4 linked regions of the Saccharomyces cerevisiae S288C genome follow. Changing the gene in region 3 together with the main gene of any one other region gives a genetic interaction. Each region holds a gene or a part of one and is shown on either strand. Other genes may lie near its edges.

What was found.
Region 1: mutations in RIM20 (region 3) and RAV1 together harm fitness more than expected from each alone (negative genetic interaction), as found in Saccharomyces cerevisiae (3 studies listed by BioGRID, with this or other methods).
Region 2: mutations in RIM20 (region 3) and CDC11 together harm fitness more than expected from each alone (negative genetic interaction), as found in Saccharomyces cerevisiae (3 studies listed by BioGRID).
Region 4: mutations in RIM20 (region 3) and PMP3 together harm fitness more than expected from each alone (negative genetic interaction), as found in Saccharomyces cerevisiae (3 studies listed by BioGRID, with this or other methods).

Annotation. Positions count from the first base shown.
Region 1 is NC_001142.9:490,886-499,458, forward strand, and holds RAV1 (Rav1p), read right to left. Parts: upstream 5,567-8,573; coding exon 1,493-5,566; downstream 1-1,492. Other genes in the region: peptidylprolyl isomerase CPR7, read left to right, coding at 196-1,377; PET191 (Pet191p), read left to right, coding at 5,798-6,124; DNA-dependent ATPase RAD26, read left to right, coding at 6,470-8,573. UniProt on the Saccharomyces cerevisiae protein: Component of the RAVE complex, which is required for stable assembly of the vacuolar ATPase complex V-ATPase under many conditions.
Region 2 is NC_001142.9:574,854-578,684, forward strand, and holds CDC11 (septin CDC11), read right to left. Parts: upstream 1,749-3,831; coding exon 501-1,748; downstream 1-500. Other genes in the region: HOC1 (alpha-1,6-mannosyltransferase), read left to right, coding at 1-318; MIR1 (Mir1p), read right to left, coding at 2,402-3,337. UniProt on the Saccharomyces cerevisiae protein: Septins are GTPases involved in cytokinesis that assemble early in the cell cycle as a patch at the incipient bud site and form a ring approximate 15 minutes before bud emergence, which transforms into an hour-glass shaped collar of cortical filaments that spans both sides of the mother-bud neck.
Region 3 is NC_001147.6:836,473-842,858, forward strand, and holds RIM20 (Rim20p), read right to left. Parts: upstream 4,598-6,386; coding exon 2,612-4,597; downstream 1-2,611. Other genes in the region: MOD5 (tRNA dimethylallyltransferase), read left to right, coding at 1,202-2,488; CAF20 (Caf20p), read left to right, coding at 4,861-5,346; uroporphyrinogen-III synthase HEM4, read left to right, coding at 6,345-6,386. UniProt on the Saccharomyces cerevisiae protein: Required for the proteolytic cleavage of the transcriptional repressor RIM101 in response to alkaline ambient pH, which is necessary for sporulation and invasive growth.
Region 4 is NC_001136.10:1,011,954-1,016,243, forward strand, and holds PMP3 (Pmp3p), read right to left. Parts: upstream 1,691-4,290; coding exon 1,523-1,690; downstream 1-1,522. Other genes in the region: YDR274C (uncharacterized protein), read right to left, coding at 1-7; triglyceride-associated lipolysis regulator TLD1, read left to right, coding at 299-1,006; MTH1 (Mth1p), read right to left, coding at 2,448-3,749. UniProt on the Saccharomyces cerevisiae protein: Plays a role in the regulation of membrane potential. Could mediate a proton leak.

The sequences.
Region 1 (8,573 bases), on a different chromosome or scaffold from region 3:
TTCAATTCTCTGTGTAAAGTATCCATATTAAAAGGTCTTAGTTCCAACATGTAAACAAAGAGATCTATATATTGTTTTTTTTCCAATGCGCTGAGTGATGAAGTGATTAGAAAATCATAAAAATGAGAAACTGCAAAGAAAAAAAAAGTCGTTATTCTGAAAGGTGTTCGGCAGCAACAACCTACATCCAACGCGATGATTCAAGATCCCCTTGTATATTTAGACATCTCCATTGATAAAAAACCAATTGGTCGTATTGTCTGCAAACTTTTTCGTGAGAAGGCTCCTAAAACAACAGAGAATTTTTATAAGTTATGCGCTGGTGATGTTAAGAGTCCTTTGAAGGATCAACAGTACCTGAGCTATAAGGGAAATGGTTTTCATAGAGTCGTTAAGAATTTTATGATCCAGGCAGGTGACATTGTCTTTGGGACACAAAAGGATTCCTCTTCATCGTCTGTTGGAAAAGGTGGATGTTCAATTTACGCTGATAAAGAGGAAGTGAAAACCGATGATGAATCTTTCTGTTACGGGAATTTTGAAGACGAAAACTTGGGAGAGTTTGTAGAACCCTTTACCTTAGGTATGGCCAATTTAGGTTCTCCAAATACGAACAATTCCCAGTTTTTCATAACTACATACGCCGCACCTCATTTGAACGGCAAGCATTCTATTTTTGGGCAGGTGGTTCATGGAAAATCAGTGGTTCGCACTATAGAAAACTGCAGGGTAGATTCTGATGGAGTCCCTGAATCAGACGTTAGAATCAGCGACTGTGGAGTGTGGGAAAAAACTATGGGTGTCCCGCTTTACAACGCTTCTAATGACCAAATTGGCGGTGACGTATACGAAGAATATCCAGACGATGATACACATTTCGGTGACGATGATTTTGGTAAGGCTCTTGAGGCTGCTAATATAATCAAAGAATCTGGGACGCTCTTATTTAAGAAAAAGGATTACTCTAATGCCTTTTTCAAATACAGAAAATCTTTAAATTATATCAATGAATACATGCCTGAACCCGACGTAGACAAAGAAAGAAACATCCAATTTATTAACCTAAAGATGAAAATTTACCTAAATTTATCTTTGGTGCTCTTTAATCTGGAAAGATACGATGATGCTATCATGTATGCTACGTATTTATTGGAGATGGATAACGTTCCTAACAGAGATCAAGCAAAGGCTTATTATAGAAGAGGTAACAGTTACTTAAAAAAAAAGAGACTAGACGAAGCTTTACAAGATTATATTTTTTGTAAAGAGAAAAATCCCGATGACGAAGTTATAGAACAAAGAATAGAATATGTCAATAGGCTCATAGAAGAGAATAAGGAAAAGACAAGAAAGAATATATCAAAGTTTTTCTCCTAATTAGTTACTTGTAAGGCTGAAATTTGAGATTAAATAACCCAATATGAAAACACTACATTAATAAGATGTAATTATTTTTATTTATAAATCCATTTATTTGATAAAAAATATGATATCATACAAAGTCATCTAGTAAGTTCTTGGTAATAGCAGATTTTTTTGGCTTCTGTGGCTTTTGTGATGAAAGATCATCTAATATGTCCTTAGAGAGTTTATCTTTCCTATTTTCTGAGTTGTCTGTTTCACCCACAGAGTCGTTTGGCGCTTTTGGAGTTAAATTCTCTTTATGCTGAGAATATGAAGGAGAGACGAACTCATCCAGTATACTTCTAGGTGCAGAAGAAGAACTTTGAGCGAGGGAATTTGAAGAAGTGCTATTTGGTGGTGGTTGCAAGAAGTCGTCTAATAAGCTATTTGGTAACTTTGGATTAGGTGACTCTATATCTGAAGCACTTGGCGAGCCAAACTTATCAAAAAGACTGGGCCTCATCCTAGCAGTAGAAATTGGTTCAGACGCCATGGCGCCAATAGCAGAATATGCTCTATCCTTGGTGGGGCTCTTTAATAGCTTCTGAACTGGTATGGAATTTCTTTCGATGAACTTCCAATTCTTCACAAGTGAAACCGCCAGGTAATTGCAACCCATTCGGCAAAGAATATCAGTAACTCTTAAGATCAGAGTACACTCGATTTTTGCTTCAACATTTAGAGATCCAATGAAATACTTCAAGTTTCTGTTTCTCAGGTGATTGTATAGATAGAGCAAAGCAGGGTCTTCAACAAGGAATGATCTGTTAACACAGACTTCCTTATCAACAATGCTTGAGTTGTTTTCTAAATCAATCGGAGCAGTCAGCAAAGCTTTAATAGCCACTTCCTGCTTTCTCAATTTCCAGTAAATGAAACTTGCTTTCCATCTATCATTCTCCTTTATTGTTTCAGGTAGCATTTGCGCTGTCAATAGCTCTCCCAACACGGGTCCATTATCACCTTCATAAACACGACATACACCGATTGCCAAATCCATATCATGCACTTGCTTGCAAAGAACGTTGACACAATCTTTTAGAGAGTCAGTTAAGAGAAAGAAAACTGCTGCATCCATATATCTATGCTTACTTAGCAGAACAAAAGCATTTTTGAGTGCTGCCGTTCTCCACCTCGGTACAGTGAAATCATTACTGATAAATCTAACCATCTTTTGCTGCTCAGGATGACCAATAGCCATCTTCCACAAGCTCAATAGTATCTGTTTTTTCTTCAACGCAAGATAAAAAATAGCACAACGGCTTGGATCCCTCTTATCATCTTTGGAAAATTCATATTTTGCAATATCCTCGAATTTCTTCACCAAGTCCTGCTCCTTAATCCAATAGGCTATTCTATATTCTCGAGCGCGATTCCATGAGGTTATGTGGCGGTCAATAGAAGATAATAATATTTCTTTATTGTCTGAGTGCAATGCCCAAGACACATCCCTCATCAATATGCTTTTTTGAATATTTTTATGTGATAAAAATAACTTCACGCCCAACAAGAACCTAACACCGTTGTAATCTACTATATTCTCATTTTTGGTGACTTCATCCACTGCTTCAATGACTGTGATAAGCGTGATCTGCTGGTGGCGGGTTAGATAAGGCAAAGTTGTTTTCGTTAGTTGCTCAGTAAGTGCTAGAGACACTGTCTTATTGAAACAGGGGTATGGATCAGGGAAAGATTCGACCGGATAGTCTCTATCTTTAGCAATAAAGTACTTTAATGGATCCATTCCTAGATTGGAATCCAAATTAGATACATCTTGCGATTCAAAGTCTAATTTTCTTAACGCTAAAAACAATCTTAATAACAGCTCCTTGACAAGTTGTAACTTATTCGCATAAATGGCTTGAATCAAAAATTGTGGATGATAAACTGGAAGTGGACCATTTAAAACACTACTTAAATGGAGAATATCATTTGATAAAATTTTTCTTGAACCAATTGATTGGTACGTAAATGGATCAGTCAAATCCAGAGATTTATCCTTGATGTAAAATTGATTTCCGGAAGCAACAACAAACGTGCCATTTTTCATCCATACGGAGTCACCTATATTATGAGCTGTATGTGCTGTGATATCAATTTTTTCAATAGGTAGGTAACTAGGTGTGTTGTTCGTGTAATCATACCTTAATTGAGTATAAAGTAAAGCGTATCCTGTAAATCCGATAGAGACAATGCTTTGGCCATATTCCGTGCTTGTCCAATCTATATCCTCGATAGGATTATGAAATGTTTCTTCGTATTCAAGAACTCCCCTGTTCAGGTCCCATAGTGACATTACTTTACCAGTAGAATTAACAATACATAACTTACCTGTAGATGATCCTCTAATACATGTACAATTCATTATTCCGGTGTTAATTTCACATGCCTTGATCCATTGGACATGCCTATCATTATAATTAACGATGGCTTTATACGTTCTGGTAAGACCTTTTTTAGTAATCAAAGAAATCAAAGGCCTGTTACTCACAAAAGTTTGATGTACAGGGTCAATAATGGAGATCTTGTATATGTCGTCACCATCGATATCTAATGAATCAGACTTTACTTCAAAAATACCACGTGTTAAAGAGACTTCAAAAGCTTTGATTGAACCATCAGAGAATATTAACGCGGTGAAATGACGCTCATGACTATGCTTTGGCTCAGGTGTATTTAACATAACTATTGGATGGATTTTTTTCTCCTCTTTCAGTCTCGTTTCCACACGTAAATATGATTGCTTCTGTTCACTGTCCTCCTTACGATTCGTTGGACATTCCCAGGCTTGTAAAGCCCCATTTTCGAGAAGACAGATGACCTGTTTACCCAACTCATGTACAACTGCAAATTTTATGGGAGATTCTGTTTGTATTGTATTTTGTAACCGCAGTGAAACCCCATGGTTTAACTTTTGTGGGTACCAAACGCCATTTTCTGAGAATCTCGAAGTGGTTAATAAAGCTTCGCCGTCGCTGCTTCTTACCAACTTCTGCACAGATTTGTTATGTCCCGTAAATTTGTGCTCTAAAGCGGCACTCAGATCTTCGGTTTTATTGTTTATAAGCTGCAGAATGTCGATTAGTAAATGTCTGATTACACCTTGTAAATCGTGGACGAGAAAAGAAAGTTTGCCCTTCACATTGTCATAGGGTTGTATTTCGGGGAGGTACAAATATCTTGTATCGTTTAGCATAGTTGCTTTCTTGACTTTTTTATGGGAAATGGTCTTTTTAGTCATTGGTTTTGGAGGATCTTGGGAAAGATTATTCAAAGCCAAAACTTCCATTTCCCCAGTCATTGAACCCAGAATAACAATGTCTGAGTCAGATATATCAAAGATTTCCGAGTCTTTCACACTGAGAGTTTGCCTAATGATCCAATTGTCTATTATCACGCAGAACTTCTGCGTGGGGGAAAGAGGCACTTCACCCCATATTTGCACAGTATGGTTTTTCTCCATTTCAAAACAAGACCATATTCTCAGAACTTTATCTTCACACAGCGTATAAAGAGCATGAGAGGCAGTGTTGTTTTTACTCACCTGGTCTGGCTCTTTTTTCCACCGCATTGCAGTTATAGGTTTCGGATGAGGCAACATAGTAAGGTTAAAGATGGCTTGTTCTCCGACTATTGAAACACGCTTCCATAGTTTAGCATTACAGTCGTACTTCCCAATACTGACTATCAGCTGCGAATCTTGTGATATAATCACATTATAAACAGGTTTAGGCTGTTTTTGGTTCCACTGCAAAATAGGTTGATACACACCAAAATTATCCTTAATTTTCCAAAAAGAAAGAAAATCAGATCCAATGGCTAACTCATTATCAGAAGACCATCTTAGGCAGTTTACTGGCGTGTCATCATGGAACAACTGGCAACATTGGGTCCACTTGGGATTCTGCATAATTTGATGAATGGGCTTGTAGATGAGCACCCTATTGTGGAAGGAAAGGGCAATGAATCCATTCTGGCTGTTAATATCGACCGCAGTACAGTCTGATTGTGTATATATGGTCTGTAACCTAGTGAATTTGTTGGTAAGTATGATTAAATTATTCCCTGAACAATATGCAAAGATGGTATGATTTTGCCATGTTGCTTGACAAGCTGTCTGAGGGGTAGCATTGGGGCGTCCTGGAAGAAAGTTCAATGACATGAGAACTACCTTTGCGTGTGCACGTTTGTTTACTTTCTCAATTGTTTGCGGTGTTCTTAGATCCCTTTAATTATTAAAAAAACTGAAGTGCTTGAAACAATAACATAACGAGGTTTCGCTATGCGGGCAGCTTTAAAGAAAGAGGGATAGTATATTAAAAGGCTGCCATAACAATTAATCGGAACAGAATAGACACAAATAAATTTGCAGTGCGTTTGTAGATATCAAAGAATGGTAGCTAGTTGTAAAGATCAGAAGAAGGCTGTCGCTATATGTTTGCAGAGATCGCCCTGTGTCATGATAGAGAGACATAACCCTCAAGAATGTCTTGACAATCCAGAGCTGAATAAGGATCTGCCCGAACTTTGTATTGCTCAGATGAAAGCATTTTTGGATTGTAAGCGAGGAATCGTCGACATGACTAAGCGGTTCACAGGTAACGCACCTCTGTCGACTGGCAAGTACGATCAACAGTACGAAAACTTGTGCAAAGGAAAGTTTGATCCGAGGGAGGAGATGGAAAAGCTAAAACTTCTGAACAGCCAGCAGAAGGACTGATTATTTATGAAAATTGGCCTGTAAATATATACATAAATAAATATATGCGTCAAGCTCTTTTATTCGGTTTGTCCAGTAATCCTCTTACAATATATATATATATATATACGCATGTAGCGTATTCAAGAACATTACATTTAAAAAATAGAGGGTAGAACAATAAAAATGCACTTAACAAGTTCCGTAAGTAGAAATTATAATCAGTCTAAGTACAAATTTATACCTTAGCTTCATTTCAGTTAAGGGCGATGCAATAAAAGTGGAAGAAAAAAAAAGAAGGGAAGAGGTTTGATAATATATATATATATATATATATAACATTGCTCAGAGAAACATACATCAGTGATGGAAGATAAAGAGCAGCAAGACAATGCGAAACTTGAAAACAATGAGTCACTAAAAGATCTGGGAGTTAACGTGCTTTCCCAAAGCAGTTTGGAGGAAAAAATAGCTAATGATGTAACTAACTTTAGCAACCTACAATCGCTGCAGCAAGAAGAGACTCGTCTAGAACGGAGTAAGACCGCTCTGCAACGTTATGTCAATAAGAAGAATCATCTCACAAGGAAGTTGAACAATACCACTAGGATATCTGTTAAGCAGAATCTCCGAGACCAGATCAAGAACTTACAATCAGACGATATTGAACGAGTTCTGAAGGACATAGACGATATCCAATCAAGGATTAAAGAGTTGAAAGAGCAGGTAGATCAAGGTGCTGAAAATAAAGGTTCCAAAGAGGGGCTGCAGAGACCCGGTGAAACTGAGAAGGAGTTTTTAATCAGGACTGGTAAGATCACTGCATTTGGACACAAGGCTGGTTTCAGCTTGGACACTGCAAACAGAGAGTATGCCAAGAATGACGAACAAAAAGATGAGGATTTTGAAATGGCAACAGAACAAATGGTAGAAAATTTAACGGATGAGGATGACAATCTCAGCGATCAAGACTATCAAATGAGTGGTAAAGAGAGTGAAGATGACGAAGAAGAAGAAAATGACGATAAAATTCTCAAAGAACTGGAAGACCTGCGGTTCAGAGGCCAACCTGGTGAGGCGAAGGATGATGGGGACGAGTTGTATTATCAAGAAAGGTTAAAAAAATGGGTGAAACAACGTTCTTGCGGTAGTCAAAGGTCATCGGACTTGCCAGAATGGCGAAGACCTCATCCGAATATTCCCGACGCAAAACTTAATAGCCAGTTCAAAATACCCGGTGAAATATACTCGCTGTTATTTAATTACCAAAAGACGTGCGTTCAGTGGCTCTATGAGCTTTACCAGCAGAACTGTGGCGGTATTATTGGTGACGAAATGGGTCTGGGAAAAACGATTCAAGTTATCGCATTTATCGCAGCGTTGCATCATTCAGGTCTATTAACAGGCCCTGTATTAATTGTCTGTCCTGCAACTGTGATGAAGCAATGGTGTAATGAGTTCCAGCATTGGTGGCCTCCATTGAGGACGGTCATATTGCACTCAATGGGTTCAGGAATGGCTTCTGACCAAAAATTTAAGATGGATGAAAACGATCTAGAGAACTTGATAATGAATTCAAAGCCAAGTGATTTTTCTTACGAGGATTGGAAGAACTCAACAAGGACAAAGAAGGCATTGGAATCAAGCTATCATTTAGATAAGTTGATAGATAAAGTCGTTACTGATGGGCACATTTTAATTACCACGTACGTTGGGTTAAGAATACATTCAGATAAGCTACTAAAAGTTAAATGGCAGTATGCTGTTTTAGATGAGGGACATAAGATTAGAAACCCAGATTCGGAGATTTCATTGACTTGCAAAAAACTGAAGACACATAATAGGATCATTCTTTCAGGAACACCGATACAGAATAATTTAACCGAGCTTTGGTCGCTTTTTGATTTCATTTTCCCTGGTAAATTAGGAACTCTACCTGTGTTTCAACAACAGTTTGTCATACCTATAAATATTGGTGGTTATGCAAACGCAACAAACATACAAGTTCAGACCGGCTACAAATGTGCTGTTGCATTGCGTGACTTGATTTCACCGTACCTGTTACGTCGTGTGAAAGCTGATGTTGCAAAAGATCTGCCACAAAAGAAAGAAATGGTTCTCTTTTGTAAGCTTACGAAATATCAAAGAAGCAAATATTTGGAGTTTCTGCATTCTTCAGATTTAAACCAAATACAAAACGGTAAGAGAAATGTTCTATTTGGTATCGACATTCTAAGGAAAATATGTAATCACCCCGATTTACTTGACAGAGATACAAAGAGACATAATCCAGATTACGGTGATCCTAAAAGATCCGGAAAAATGCAGGTTGTCAAGCAATTATTATTACTGTGGCATAAGCAGGGCTATAAAGCCCTACTCTTCACTCAATCGAGACAAATGCTCGATATTCTAGAGGAGTTTATATCAACGAAAGATCCCGATTTATCACATTTGAACTACCTACGAA
Region 2 (3,831 bases), on a different chromosome or scaffold from region 3:
AAGAGGGACGACCAACTAAACGTCAATCTAAGGAATGATCTGAATATTATGAGTTGGACGGGTTCTGGGTTGTGGACTGACACTATTTTCACGTATTTCAATGACTTTATGAGAAGTGGTGTCAGGGAGAAGGTTACATGGAAATTATTCCATAACCTAAATCAACCAAAATTGCTAAGTGATGTTCTGGTCTTTCCAAAATTCTCCTTTAACTGTCCAAACCAAATCGATAATGACGATCCACACAAGAAATTCTATTTCATTACTCATTTGGCATCACAATTTTGGAAAAATACTCCAAAGGTGGAGCAGAAATAAGTACTTCTACGCAGATATAATAAGGAACTTTTTTGTTAATTTTTTTTTGCTGATCGATATTAATACTTTTTAAGAATGAAGAAAAAAAAAAAATAATATACCAGATGTATTTACTTATATACAACACTCACTCTTTATATATATAGAGAAAGAAGAAATAAGTGAGGAAGCCAAAAGCGGACTCATTCTTCCTGTTTGATTTTCGCCTCTTTTTCCAACCTGGCTTCAATTTCTCTTAATTCCTTTTCTCTTTGCAACAGTTCTTGTCTTTTCAACAGCAGTTCTTGCTGAACTCTCTCCTCAAATGCCTTTAGTCGCTCTTCTTCTAACCGTATTTGCTCCTCACGTGTCATGTAGGTTTCGTTATTTTCGCCAGTGCTTTGCCCGTGCATATCGGATGCTGGGTTGAGAACATCGTTATTAATATTATTACTTTGCTTGAAGGGATTTGTGTTTCTCCTTGTTGTGGTGGACGATGACGACGAACCATTCAATTTTGTCAGATTTGGACGTATGGATTCTGCCGCGACAGATTCACCTGATAATGCCTCGGTTCTATATCTTTCATATAATATCTCATGTGTGTAGTTTTTCAAGTCATGTAAATGAGAGATCAATAACGCATTCCTTAAGATAACAAAATCAGAGATCGATGAATCTTCCACGTCCAGTATGCCCCATGGATACTTTCTGCCACGAATTGTCCCAACATCGCCGCCCATTTCGTAAACTTCATTGGATCCAATAATAGCAAAAGGTAGAAGTGTACGTAGGTACATATTGGTTTCGTAATCTTCGTCTGATATTTCATCTTCATCGAAAGGGAAATTATAAATTGGCAAGTTCCATCTGTCGATATCCTCCATGATCAATTTTTTATTCAGTTTCAGTTCATCTCTTGTCAAGGAATCTGATTTGCTGATCACAGGGATGATGTTAACTAAGGATCCCAACTGTCTGATGAATTCCACATCAATCTCTTTTAAACCGTGGCCAGTTGGGTTGATTAAGTAAAGACAACAATGAACTCTGCCGTCCTTAAATCTTGGGTTTCTTCTCACACGACTTTCTTCCAATAAGATTTCATCATATTGGTGGCGAATGTAGTCGGAAATGATTTCGAAAGATGGAGAATTGTCGAGAGAATCACCGAATCCCGGAGTATCGATGATATTAAGTTGAATCTTGACACCTTCATCATCTTCTAATTCGACCGTCTCCTCTCTCAATTGTAAGTCTATTTCTGTGGACGTATCTGTGGGTAACAAGATTGTCGTCGAAGTGTCTACAACTTGCTGACCGCACAAAGTATTTATAAAAGTCGATCTACCAGATCCGGACTGGCCCACGATCATCACAGTGAAGGTTATACCTCTTTTCAAATGCTTTCTTTTTCTTAATGCAGAAGATGCGTCAATTATTCCGGACATGGCTGGTGGTTAGCAACTTTAGGCCTTGTGATGATTGACTTTCTAAACGGCTCCAGATCGGGTCGCCAATACGTGGTGTCTACCTATTTTACTTTTCGATCAAATACTTTTTTGTTTATTTTTCTTTATGTTAGAAGGCGGAAAAATAAAGAATACTGGCGATCCTGCATGGTCGGGTAACGACCCACGAGCATTGTGTTGTGTAAATATAGCCATATTTAAGCTATATTTATCTGTATAACATATACGTGTCCGTATGTGCCCGACCAAATATGTTACTGCGATGAAATGGATTGAGAACGATGTTTAAATGTTATGTTCCATGTTGTGTTTTCCACCAAAAAACCGTGAAGGACAATTCAATGAGCAAAGGGTTTAACGGAGCTATAACCTGCTTTTGTAGATGAAAAAATAGAAAATTCAAATATATATATATATATATATTTATAATAGCATGTTAATTTACAGATATTTGGACTTTTGCAAAGTCAGTAAATACATGGAATAAGAATACTAGTGATTGAATAGAGTACATTTAAACAGATTTATTTATTTCTTTCCTTTGTTGACTCTTTCTTAGAATATGAAAAAAAAAAGGGGCTCCGGTGGTGATGAGGAGAGAATATATATGCATGTATCAATCAAGACCATTTCTAATGACCACCACCACCAATTTCAATGGTTGGTGGGCAACCCAAAGTGCTCTTTAAAGAACCATAAATACCAAATTGCAAGGAGGTCAAGGTACCAACCATGACCAAACGAGTAGGCAACCCAGCAAAGGAACCGAAAAATCCTAACTGTTTGGCCAACTGAGCCAACAAACCGACTGTGGATTGGCCAGGAGCCTTCTTAGTCTTGTTGACCTTGGACAACAGAGTGTCTGCTGGCTGGGAAACAATGGCAGCGGCCAAACCAGCAGTCAAACCGGAAAGCAAATTCAACAAAGTAGTGGAAGTAGAGGACAATTTTTCTTTTGGACCGGCGAACCCGTAGTAGAACTCGGAGGCACGTTCAAAGACCAAGAATTTAGCAATGTTGTAAGGAATTTGCTTGAACAAAATTGGAGTGAACCCACTGTAGAAAGAGCCGATACCTTCTTCTTTCAAAATTCTGGAAAACCCTCCGACGAGTCCATTAGCGAACTGTGGTTGGGAGACCAATCTGATTCTAGTGGCTTCTAGGGGACACAAGGCAATGTCTGCCAAGAATTCGGCCATGGCAGCAGAACCCATGTAAACAGAGTTCTTGTAGCGAGAGGCGGTATCGTAACCCAAGTTGTCAATGAAGAACTTCTTGAACACTTCGTAACCACCGAACTTGAAGGCACCTTGGATAGAGTAACCCAACAAAGTAGGACCAAACCCGGTCAACAACGCACCAGCACCTTCTCCGGCGATGATTTGCTTGAAAGAGCCGACCATACCCTTGTTGTACACGGTAGGTTCCAGTTGGATTCTCGTCTTAACGACATCGATCGGGACCATACTGGAGTGAGTCGACCCGCACCCTATGGCGCCGGCTAGGGCGAATTTCATGTAGTCAGAGACAGAGTACTGTGGAATAGCAGGAGCAGCAGACACAGACATGGTGAGATGAGACTTTTTGATCTTTGTAGTTCTTCTTCTTGCAGATCACTCTGTTCTTTGCGATGGTTCTTGTAGATAAAAAGATCGGGAGGATGGATCGCACTTAAAAATCTTCTCGAAACGGGCCGCGGCCGGGCATGGGACCCGTTCTCGACGCTGATTGGCTAACGATGGTTGGGCAGAGTCTCAGCTGCTGCTTGCTCACATTCGACAAAAGACTAGAGGAAAGCAGTACCATGCTGCGATACTGTTGCATCGCAGCATTCCGCTGTCCAAAAACAATACCTGTTGTATTGTTTGAGGCTGGCAGGCGCTTGGGTAGAAACAACACCCGATACTGGTGACAGGGCTATCTATAAATATTAAAACTTGACTCCGCAATTCGTCGTAAACTGCCTTAACCATCGTAATGGACGCCGTGCAAATGCTTCGACTTTTCCCAGTAGTCAGGCATTGCGCCAGACACTTGTGCTGCTTAATTGTCGTAATGAAAA
Region 3 (6,386 bases):
TTGTGTGTGTATGTGTGTGTATAAGATGGTATCTTTATTCTGTAATTTTCAGGAAAGTGATGACTAGAAAATCGATGTGTCAGGTACAACAAATTGACAACCTATAACTTTCCATACAGGCGAATATATATATACACATAAACACATTCAAGCCTCCGGTACCGTTTGCTCTGACAAGGACAATTAGCATGTAAGCACGAGTGCGGGTATGCAATCATTTCAGTGTTTCCTTCATTTGGCATAGTGTCGTAACACGGATTTAAGGTGAGCCGTCAGGGGCTTTTAAGCGGAGCCCCTGCAGCTTCATGAAGACGGAACCGCACGGGCCTATTACCTCGGGGATAGATCAATTATCCGAAGCGGGTCACAACCCGGAAATAATAACCACTATGCCCGACCGTACCGACGTGGCACTATTTTTGGGATCCGTGGAAGTCGGCCATTAGTGGTAATCGGCGAAAACAAGTTTATTGCAGCTAAAGCACGCCATACGGTTGATATAAACAGCAATTAGGCACTTTTTCTCTTATTATTCATATGCCTTATTGGCTTGTGGCTTGTGGCTTGTAGCCTATGCAAATGCATTTGCTGATAGCAGCATAAGAAAGTTGGGAAGAAACGCTAACTGTACTTTTTATATCCAGAGTTCATTAGTTGATCTTTTACCCCAATAATTTCTTCCACTTGCGGCCTGCTTCTTCGCATTTCTCCCATTCCGGGCCGCGACTCCGTAGTTCTTACAGAAACAGCCGCCTCCATAACCATCTATGATAGGAAAAAGATGGACAAACAGGAAAAGAGCTAGGGAGTATAACCTGATTCCTGACATGTATAGGATTCGGGTAATTTTGAAATACGAAGCTCTTTGCATTCCGAGACCGGTTTAGGAAGATTTATTTACATATCTACTTGCGCTATTGTGGTCATGCCTTCGAAAGATAAAGAGCGAATTTTGCTCGTATAAGCTAAAATCAGGTAAAAGTTCCTTATGTTGCTGCTCCTCGATGGCAACGTCGATCTAAGATCTTGATTACTGAATCAGGCGAAAGCACACGTTCATCTTTCGCTCATCGGAAAGAAAATTAAAACAGAAAAAAATTCTAAAATGGCAAAAAAGAAGAAAAGCTCAGTGAGGGCTGTATAGTTTATTAGATAAGCTACTATACGTACATATCTTTTGTAAATAGAACCAAAAATCTTCATGCTAAAGGGACCGCTTAAAGGTTGCTTAAATATGTCTAAAAAAGTTATAGTGATTGCTGGTACAACAGGAGTAGGAAAGTCTCAGTTGTCCATACAATTGGCACAAAAATTTAATGGCGAAGTTATCAATTCGGATTCTATGCAGGTATATAAAGATATTCCTATTATAACAAATAAACATCCGCTTCAAGAAAGAGAGGGCATTCCTCACCATGTAATGAATCACGTAGATTGGTCAGAAGAATACTATTCCCATCGTTTTGAAACTGAATGCATGAACGCTATTGAAGATATTCACCGGAGGGGTAAGATACCCATCGTTGTTGGGGGTACTCATTATTATTTGCAGACTCTTTTCAATAAGCGGGTCGATACGAAATCATCCGAACGTAAGCTCACAAGGAAGCAGCTCGATATTTTGGAATCGACTGACCCTGATGTGATTTATAACACACTTGTGAAGTGTGATCCTGATATAGCTACCAAATACCATCCTAATGACTACAGGAGGGTACAACGAATGTTGGAAATCTACTATAAGACGGGCAAAAAACCAAGCGAGACATTTAACGAACAAAAAATAACTTTGAAGTTTGATACCCTATTTTTATGGCTATACAGTAAGCCGGAGCCACTTTTCCAAAGGCTTGACGATCGTGTAGACGACATGCTAGAAAGAGGCGCCTTGCAAGAAATCAAGCAATTATATGAATATTACAGTCAAAATAAATTTACGCCGGAGCAATGCGAGAATGGTGTTTGGCAAGTTATTGGCTTCAAAGAATTCTTACCGTGGCTAACCGGGAAAACTGATGACAACACAGTAAAATTGGAGGATTGTATAGAAAGAATGAAAACGAGAACACGTCAATACGCAAAAAGGCAGGTAAAATGGATCAAGAAAATGCTGATACCTGACATCAAAGGCGATATATACTTACTGGATGCCACTGACCTTTCTCAATGGGACACGAATGCATCTCAAAGAGCGATAGCTATTTCCAATGACTTTATTAGCAATCGACCCATCAAGCAAGAAAGGGCACCTAAAGCCCTAGAGGAGCTGTTGTCTAAAGGCGAAACTACGATGAAGAAATTGGACGATTGGACACATTATACTTGCAACGTCTGTCGTAACGCAGATGGTAAGAACGTTGTAGCTATTGGCGAAAAATATTGGAAAATTCATTTGGGTAGCAGAAGACATAAATCCAACTTGAAAAGAAACACTCGTCAAGCTGATTTTGAAAAATGGAAAATAAACAAGAAGGAGACTGTGGAATGAAAATATTAGGAAAAAGGAGTTTATCCTGAGTGTATATATCTACATAAGTGAAGCTGGGTTTTGATAATGGAAAGGGAGGATGACAAGCTCAAAATATACTTTATAGATGAATGAGGACAGGTATCATTGGTCTTCAAATGTCAAACTCTTATCAAGCCTAGCTTTTTCTGCTCTTCTTGCTGTATCATATTCCTGTACCTCATTGTACAGATTGCTGGTAGAAGTAATTAAATTTTCGTAAAATGCTGTGCCGGCACTTAAATTTTCTTTCACCTCATCAAGCAGTTTGAAGGAATATCTCAGATCTTCAATATATAGCTCTCTGGGATCTATTCTTACCATTTTCTTTGGTTCAATCCCGCTTCTGCCGGGGTTATTCTTCTTACTTAGGTTTACTTCCTCAATAAGTTTGATATTTTCTTCCTTTGTACTATTAACGTATCTTAAATCTTCGTCAAAGTATTTTAAATGGCCTATGAAAATGGGTTCAAAGTCGACTGTTCCATTTTTTTTATACGATGTAATGATCTTTGGAAGTATTCTATATTCTGAAGATTTCCGCCTCGTCCTATCAATATAATCATTTCTTTCCTGTATGATCATCTTAATCTTATTCGTTAGAGGATCATTAGATTCCGGTAACCTGATCTCTGATCCAATCAAATTTTTATCGATGCTTTGAAATAGTTCATTTGTTTGTTTGTCAATCGCACTACCTTCATCAAGGTATCCTCTCAGCTTTTTTAGTTTTTCATAATATGCTGTGTTAGTAGTTGAAGATTCGGGTAAAGTCCAATTTAAGGTTCCGTGTTTTAGTCGGAGCTGATTGTCAGTAAATGCTTCTTCATTTAAAATTTGCTCAATGTTATCGAGTTGTACCTGCACATTTTTATTATTAATGAGAAGATTATTCAGTGATGCCTGGTAATGACTCAGTTCTGCTTCACTCACCTTTGTAAGCCCTTGTGGTATTTGGAAAGTAGTCAAGGACTCCTTCAATAGTTTATTTAGGGAAGCAAGGGGATTGGTAACACGTTGTTCAACGTATTCATCTTGCCTTTCATTGTATGCTGTGCAATATTCCATCACTTCTATAGGGATTAGGTCTTTGAATAAAGTCTCATCCTTTTTAATAGAAGGCAACAATGTTGCTGAAGAAGATGGTTTAACCATGAGAGCTGGTTTGATCGATGGTAATTCCGAAGGAACTTCTTGTAAGTAGATGAATTCATTGTCTCTTTGGGCTTCTTTCAGAGAAGATTCGACAACAGTTTTAAACTTAGCTTGCGAAGATAGTGTTGATTCATTTATAAATTGCAATCCCATTTGCAGAGCTTTCACAACATTTCCGAACTGCTTCTTCTCATTAAAAGATAAGGCTATTCTGTAATAAGTCACCGCACTAAAGTAAGCCTTTTTAGCCTTTAAGTGGTTTATCCAATCACTTCTAATAAGTTTCCCCCTTTGGGCGTCATTAATAGCCTCGCAGTAGAAGTCCACGATCTGTTGTGACAACTTCGCGATTAAGGAGTCCTTGTGTTTATCTTGCACGGCTTTAAACCAGAAGCATTCTTGCGCTTGTGCTAGCATCAGGGAGGTTAAAGCGTTCAATGTGGCGTCATCTACCACTGGGATTGTCTCAAGATTTTTTTGGTGGTCTAAAACATGTTTAAAGCATCCGGCGGCATTCTGGAAGTACAGACATGACGTTTTGAGGGATTCGGCTGCATCATTGTTGCTATTTAGAGCCAACAGTGAATACATGCAACCAATATTATAAATAATGGTTAATTTTTCCCATTGTAATGAGTATTGACTAGTACCACGAGATTTTTGTGATAGCGTTTGAAACCATGTAAATTCTATTTGATTATTGGGAAACTTTTTCTCTAATTGCAACAATATTACATAGTATTCCTTCAGTGCAGAAAGACCGTCGATTGAGATATCGGGTGCAATCGCATTGTTTCTTGCATCAACAACTTTGAGTATGTCTGATTGGAAAAAGGATGCCGTTTGAAAGGAAGTAGTATCAATTAGTTTTGACAACTCCGTGGCAAAGTCCACTTCTAAAGTTCGCTTAAGTGGAATGGCAAGCAGTTCACTCATGTCACACTGCCTGGATCTCCATAGATAATAATACTCTCTCTGCAAGGGTATAGTAGTGTTTTAATAAGGCTTTATAGTCCCTTTTCTTATGCTATATTATAAAGCCGGGTAGTAGCGAGGCTTGAATATCTCTTTTCCTGGACGAAAAATAGTGAAAAATTGGAAAAAGTATTTGGCGTAAAGCATATTCTACCGATTGCGATAGACATTATTTGAGCTGTAACCTGAATATAGGATTAAGAACTTTTATTTAATTTCACGACATGATCAAGTATACTATCGATGAGCTTTTTCAACTGAAGCCAAGTTTAACTTTGGAAGTTAATTTCGATGCGGTGGAATTTAGAGCCATCATTGAAAAAGTTAAGCAATTGCAACACTTGAAAGAGGAAGAGTTTAACAGTCATCATGTTGGTCATTTCGGTCGTAGAAGATCTTCCCACCATCATGGTAGACCAAAGATTAAGCACAACAAGCCTAAGGTTACAACCGATTCAGATGGTTGGTGCACATTTGAAGCCAAGAAGAAGGGTAGTGGAGAAGATGATGAAGAAGAAACAGAAACCACACCAACTTCTACTGTGCCAGTTGCTACCATTGCCCAAGAAACTTTAAAAGTCAAGCCAAATAACAAAAATATTTCTTCCAACAGACCTGCTGATACCAGAGATATTGTTGCGGACAAGCCAATTCTTGGTTTCAACGCATTTGCTGCTTTGGAAAGTGAAGACGAAGACGACGAAGCATAAGTCATTCGCTCATGCTTTCTTCAGGCAGCTGTACGTGTACTATGTATAAATTTTGAATAACATTTTTTTTAATAAACAGTTTTTACTCTTTTAGGTTACTTTCCAGATTGAAAATATACAACGTGGTTACATAAAGAAATTAAAATGTAGAACGAATCATGACCAACTGTATCAGGTGTTTAAAAAGGCGAGGTGAAAGAGAAAGGCTTCCCCCTCTAATATCAACAGCTGGAGATACATCTTTCTAATAATTAATCTACCATGAGCCGTACGCACTGAAGCAACGCCCATCAAACATCCGAAGCCACATTATGAGTACAAAAGAGGCTGACGTTAATAGGAACTCATGGTGTAATTTTGCTTCACTTTTCTGAATTCAAATGGAAATAGAAGTAAAAATGGGCAGAAAAGTTACCTCATGCTTTAAATATACTCAACTTTTCTCTACCGACAGTAGGAGCCCTAAGAGATAAAGCGAAAAATTTTCACAGCGCGCTCCTTGGTGCGGCGAGGGTATAAAAGGCGATTTCATTTCAATTCTTTGAACTTACTTCATTTGCAGGATCCTTCAGGATAAGAAAACCATCATTCAATAAACTGATCTTCCGGATTACCATGCTTAAGACATCACGCCTCCATATGTCTATATAAAGCGCAAATGGCTGGAAGTAGACCAATTTTTTTTGTTCCTAGCTTTTCATTATTGAAATCTAATCCAGTTTTAATGGTTTTTCTTAATTAAGAAAACAAATTATCATTGGTTCGCTCTAGGTGTACATATCTTCACTTCATTACTCTCTTGTTTACATTGTATACATCGTACATATACTTCAATTATGGAAATACCATAAATTCTCTTAGTGTGTAGTTCACTAGTTTTTGGGGTTGGGTTGTGCTGTAGTCAGCTAAGGCGCTTTAGTGAACTTTCTAGTGAGTTTTTTGAATTTTAGTGTCAAAGGATAAGGAAACAGAAAGGTAAAATAGACCTTGCTCGAGAGATGTCTAGTCGTAAAAAAGTCAGAGTATTACTGCTCAAGAAT
Region 4 (4,290 bases), on a different chromosome or scaffold from region 3:
AAAACATGTACGAGGGAAGAGAAGGGGGCAAAAGAAAGATAATAGGAACGGTGTAGATGAACTAGAAAAGGTTCAAGAGATGATAAACGTGAAGGGAGTGTCATATCTACCGACATAAAGATAGAGATCTTTTTTTTTCCTTTATTTTTTTTTTTGATTTTTTTTTTTGATTTTCTTGATATTAGTTTTTAGAAGTCCTTTGACGGGGCAGCCGGAGAATATATACCAACGGCATTCTATTGTCTTTTTTTCTTCCTTCCTTGCCAGGCATCTGCATCCATTATTGCCTTTAGTTACAATGTTTTTTTTCCCGAAGCTTAGAAAACTTATAGGTTCAACTGTGATCGATCACGATACCAAGAACTCATCAGGAAAGGAAGAGATCATGTCAAATAGCCGATTAGCACTTGTTATTATCAACCACGCCTTTGATAAGGTACTATCTTTGACGTGGCACTGCGGGATATTATCCGAAATAAGATCAGGACTGATGTTAATGTTTGGCATTTTCCAGTTGATGTGCTCTTTGGGTGTCATCGTATTGCTGTTGCCTATTATCATACTGGACGCGATCGATCTATTCCTCTACATGTGCAGGTTGCTTGATTACGGTTGCAAGTTATTCCACTACAATAGATCATCATTACCGGTGGCAGATGGAAAAGAAAAGACCAGTGGTCCCATAAGCGGAAAGGAGGAAATAGTTATTGATGAGGAGATAATTAATATGCTAAATGAATCCTCAGAATCATTGATCAATCATACTACAGCTGGTCTGGAATATGATATTAGTTCAGGTAGTGTTAACAAAAGTAGGCGTTTGAATTCAACTAGTACAGTTACATTTGTGAAGCAGAATAAACTTGTTAATGAAAGGAGGGAAGACGCCTACTACGAGGAAGAGGATGATGATTTCCTATCAAATCCGAATTATGATAAGATATCATTGATCGAAAAATCATTCACGAGTCGTTTTGAAGTGGCTTGTGAGCAGAAAGCTGCTTAAATTGATAATCAAGGTCAAGGCAACGCAACGCCACTGCTAAGAACACTTATTGCTACAGAAAGGAAACTAAAAATAATTATAAGGCTAGAGAGAAATAAAAACAAAATAAGAGAGATAATATGGGTAAGGGTCTGCCACCCATCTGATAAAAGGCTGTTCTATCTTTTGGAACTCTACAACACAGGTAAACGGATGATACTGGCTATATTTATATAGATAAACAAACTTGCAGGACAGATAGTTAAGCGTCTATATCATGTGTATTTTAAGCGAAGAAAAAAGTACAAAAATGATAAAAGGCAAAAAAGATGAGAAGTTTTTTTTGTGATAAAATTAATTATTAAAAAATACACACGTAGTTAAAATTAACAGCGGGGGAGGAAACCTTAAGAGAAAGAGAAACAAAAAAAAAGAAAGGAAACAAATAAAAATGAGGGTGACCCGAACATGTTGATACCGTTTCCTAATACTGCTTCCTTATTTCATTTGATAGTTACTTTCGTTTATTGAATGAGCTTAATCTTGTAGGACAATGTACAAGGCATATAGCATACCTGGGAACCAAGCCAAAATGGTCAAAATGATATCCACTATACAGTCAGTACCCCACCCACGGGCTAGAAAAACGGCGACTGGTGGTAAGAAAAGGGATAATATAATGTTAATGATCTTGGCAGAATCCATTGTTGTATTGTGCTGTGCTGTTTAGTTCAAAATGTATAATCAATTGTATTATACTGGCGAAAAACAACAACCGATAGTAAATTTTCTTCTTTTTTTCCTTTCCCTCTTCCAAAACAAAAACACTCACTTCCTCTTTTGTATTTATAGAGGCGCCCATCGCAAAATAACCAGGACCCCCTTTTGAGGGCGTGGTTAAAGGGCACCCAGAGCCCACACCCATTGCATCTTCCGCTATTAGGGGACTGCGGAAGTGAGGGGAGCAGTAAATAGTGATCTTTGTAATTTTCTGCAAAATCCCTCTCGCTGTCTCGGGTTTTTCGATTCAGAGGACCTTCCCCCCCCCATGTTCCGAGATCGGTTTTGGTGGTTAGAAGGCCGGAGGAAAGACATTTACCGCTTGCGCGCGGCTTCTTCTGTATGCTGTGCTCAACTACCAAGAGAAGGATTACGCGCACGGATACGTTGGATGTCTGCGATTGGTGATGCTAAGAACTAAAGGTATTTCGTCATCGTATGGTTTGATCTTCGCTACCCTTGACTCTTTACTGCGATAACGGTACCACGTTCCCATAAAATTCTTATTACTAAATCTCTATAAAGCTGCAACAGCTAGTTTGTATATATAAATCATTGGCGCTTCTTCCTCAATTCCTTGGGAATTTGGAGCTCCTCTATTAAAACTGATGTCCATGGGATAGTATTGATACAATCGAAGAGTCTCCAAAAAAACCATCGGGAAGGTTTCTTTTTAGTATCTTCAGGATACTGAATCCGGCTGCCAATCCAATCCTAATCTTTGGTAAACTTGTGCCTGACATTGCGACCATATCGTAGCCTTTTCTTCTTTAGATAAGCTGACTTTGTTTTTTCCCTGTTGATTTGTTGCGGCGCTTGATCTCATCATCAATTCATCAAGGTTATTATTGGGGTTTTTCAACTGAATGTTCTTCAATAAAGCCTTTTTCAGAAGCGATTTTGTTTCTGTGCTGTTTTTCCGCGGTATTATGCTTGGTGGGGGCATGTCCGGTCTTTTTAAGTTGGACTGTTGTAACTTCCATTTCTTATATTCGGAGCATCTTTGTTTGAAATCAAACCTGCATTGTGCCTCTACTGCTATATTTAAGAGGTAATTTTCGATGATATTTCTCCATTCCGGTTTCGACAAATTCATGACGGCTTCATTTCTACCAGTTATATGCTCATGTCTTTTTCTAGCGGTCGCTACTGTATATTTGGCGCTGGTTAGTTTGAATTCATAATCTAAGTTAGCCTCCATGTACAGATCCGAATGGACTAACGTTGCGATTATGGTCTCATCGCTAGAATATAGTGGTAATAATTGTAACCTAAACTGGGGCATATTATCACCCACCGTTATTACTTCCGGTAGTTGATTACCCCATTCGGGCCTTAACTTCTCGACTATCAATAACGATCTTATATCGTTTAAATCCCAATCCAATAACTCTCTCTTGGTAAACTTGGGACGCCCGTTACAGAGAATGTTGGATGGGTCTGCTAATAGAATATCTGGCGAATACATGTCATAAAACGTTTTGGGTAATGCTTCATCCAGGCTCACTCTCGTGATTAACTTGTGGTTAGGAAATTCGGAGAACGAAGAGTCATTAGTTAGTTGCGTGTGCACAGTAGAGGGGGCAGAAAATATACTTGATTGATAAGACGAGGCATTATCCGAAAGTAAACTCCCACTTTCAGCCACGCTTGATCTCCTGCTCGCTGAATGCATACTGCTTGAATGATGTGACCTTCTGCTAGGTGAGGAGGCCAATAATCTTTTTTTAATCTCATCTCTAGCTCTATCAGTGTACTCCGGAGGAGCATTCACAAAGTTCTCTCTTCTCGAAGAAGTCGTGGATTGAGAGCTACTCATTGATAGTGGCAAACTTTGAAAAGAAGCATTATCACTGCCACTCATCGTGTTTTCCGGAATGGCCTGTAGGGAGCTTGCAAACCCATGATTACTGTTAGTCGATTCTAATGGACGTCGTTGTAAAACTTGGTTTTTCGAAGTTGCTGGTGGTGGTGAAACAAACATTCCTTTGAGTGTGTGTACTCTATGCGTTCGAATAAAATTCTCTTTGTATTGCTGCTTGTGGTTTCGCTATTGAGAACTTTCAATATACGTTAAAAAATACTTGGAGTGAAATGAACAAATCTTTTTGTATGTTTCCTTAAGTTATTAAAAAACTCCATGCTGTTTTTTAATAAAAAAAGAAGCAGTTACAGGCGCATTACAAAGTTTGAGAAGAAAGGAAAAATGTCATTTGGTTATATAAATTTTTTTTCTTAATGGAGATTGAGGCAGCAATAAAATGTGGGATGAAAAAAAAAAAAAAAGGCACTTGAATAAGGGGTAGAATGGCAGATATTCCATGTCTACGGTAGTTTCACTGGAGAAATGGACTCGTATTTTCTCTCACGATGAATTTTTCCACAAAATTATAAGATGAGGAAATGTGTGGGGCAGTCATCCTAACAAAACTCGCACGGACTCCATTTCCCCGGACCTTTTTCCCGCTTGTTCTAGGGAATAATTTCGGAATAATTTTAGGGACTTCATAGTATGACTGGGTTTC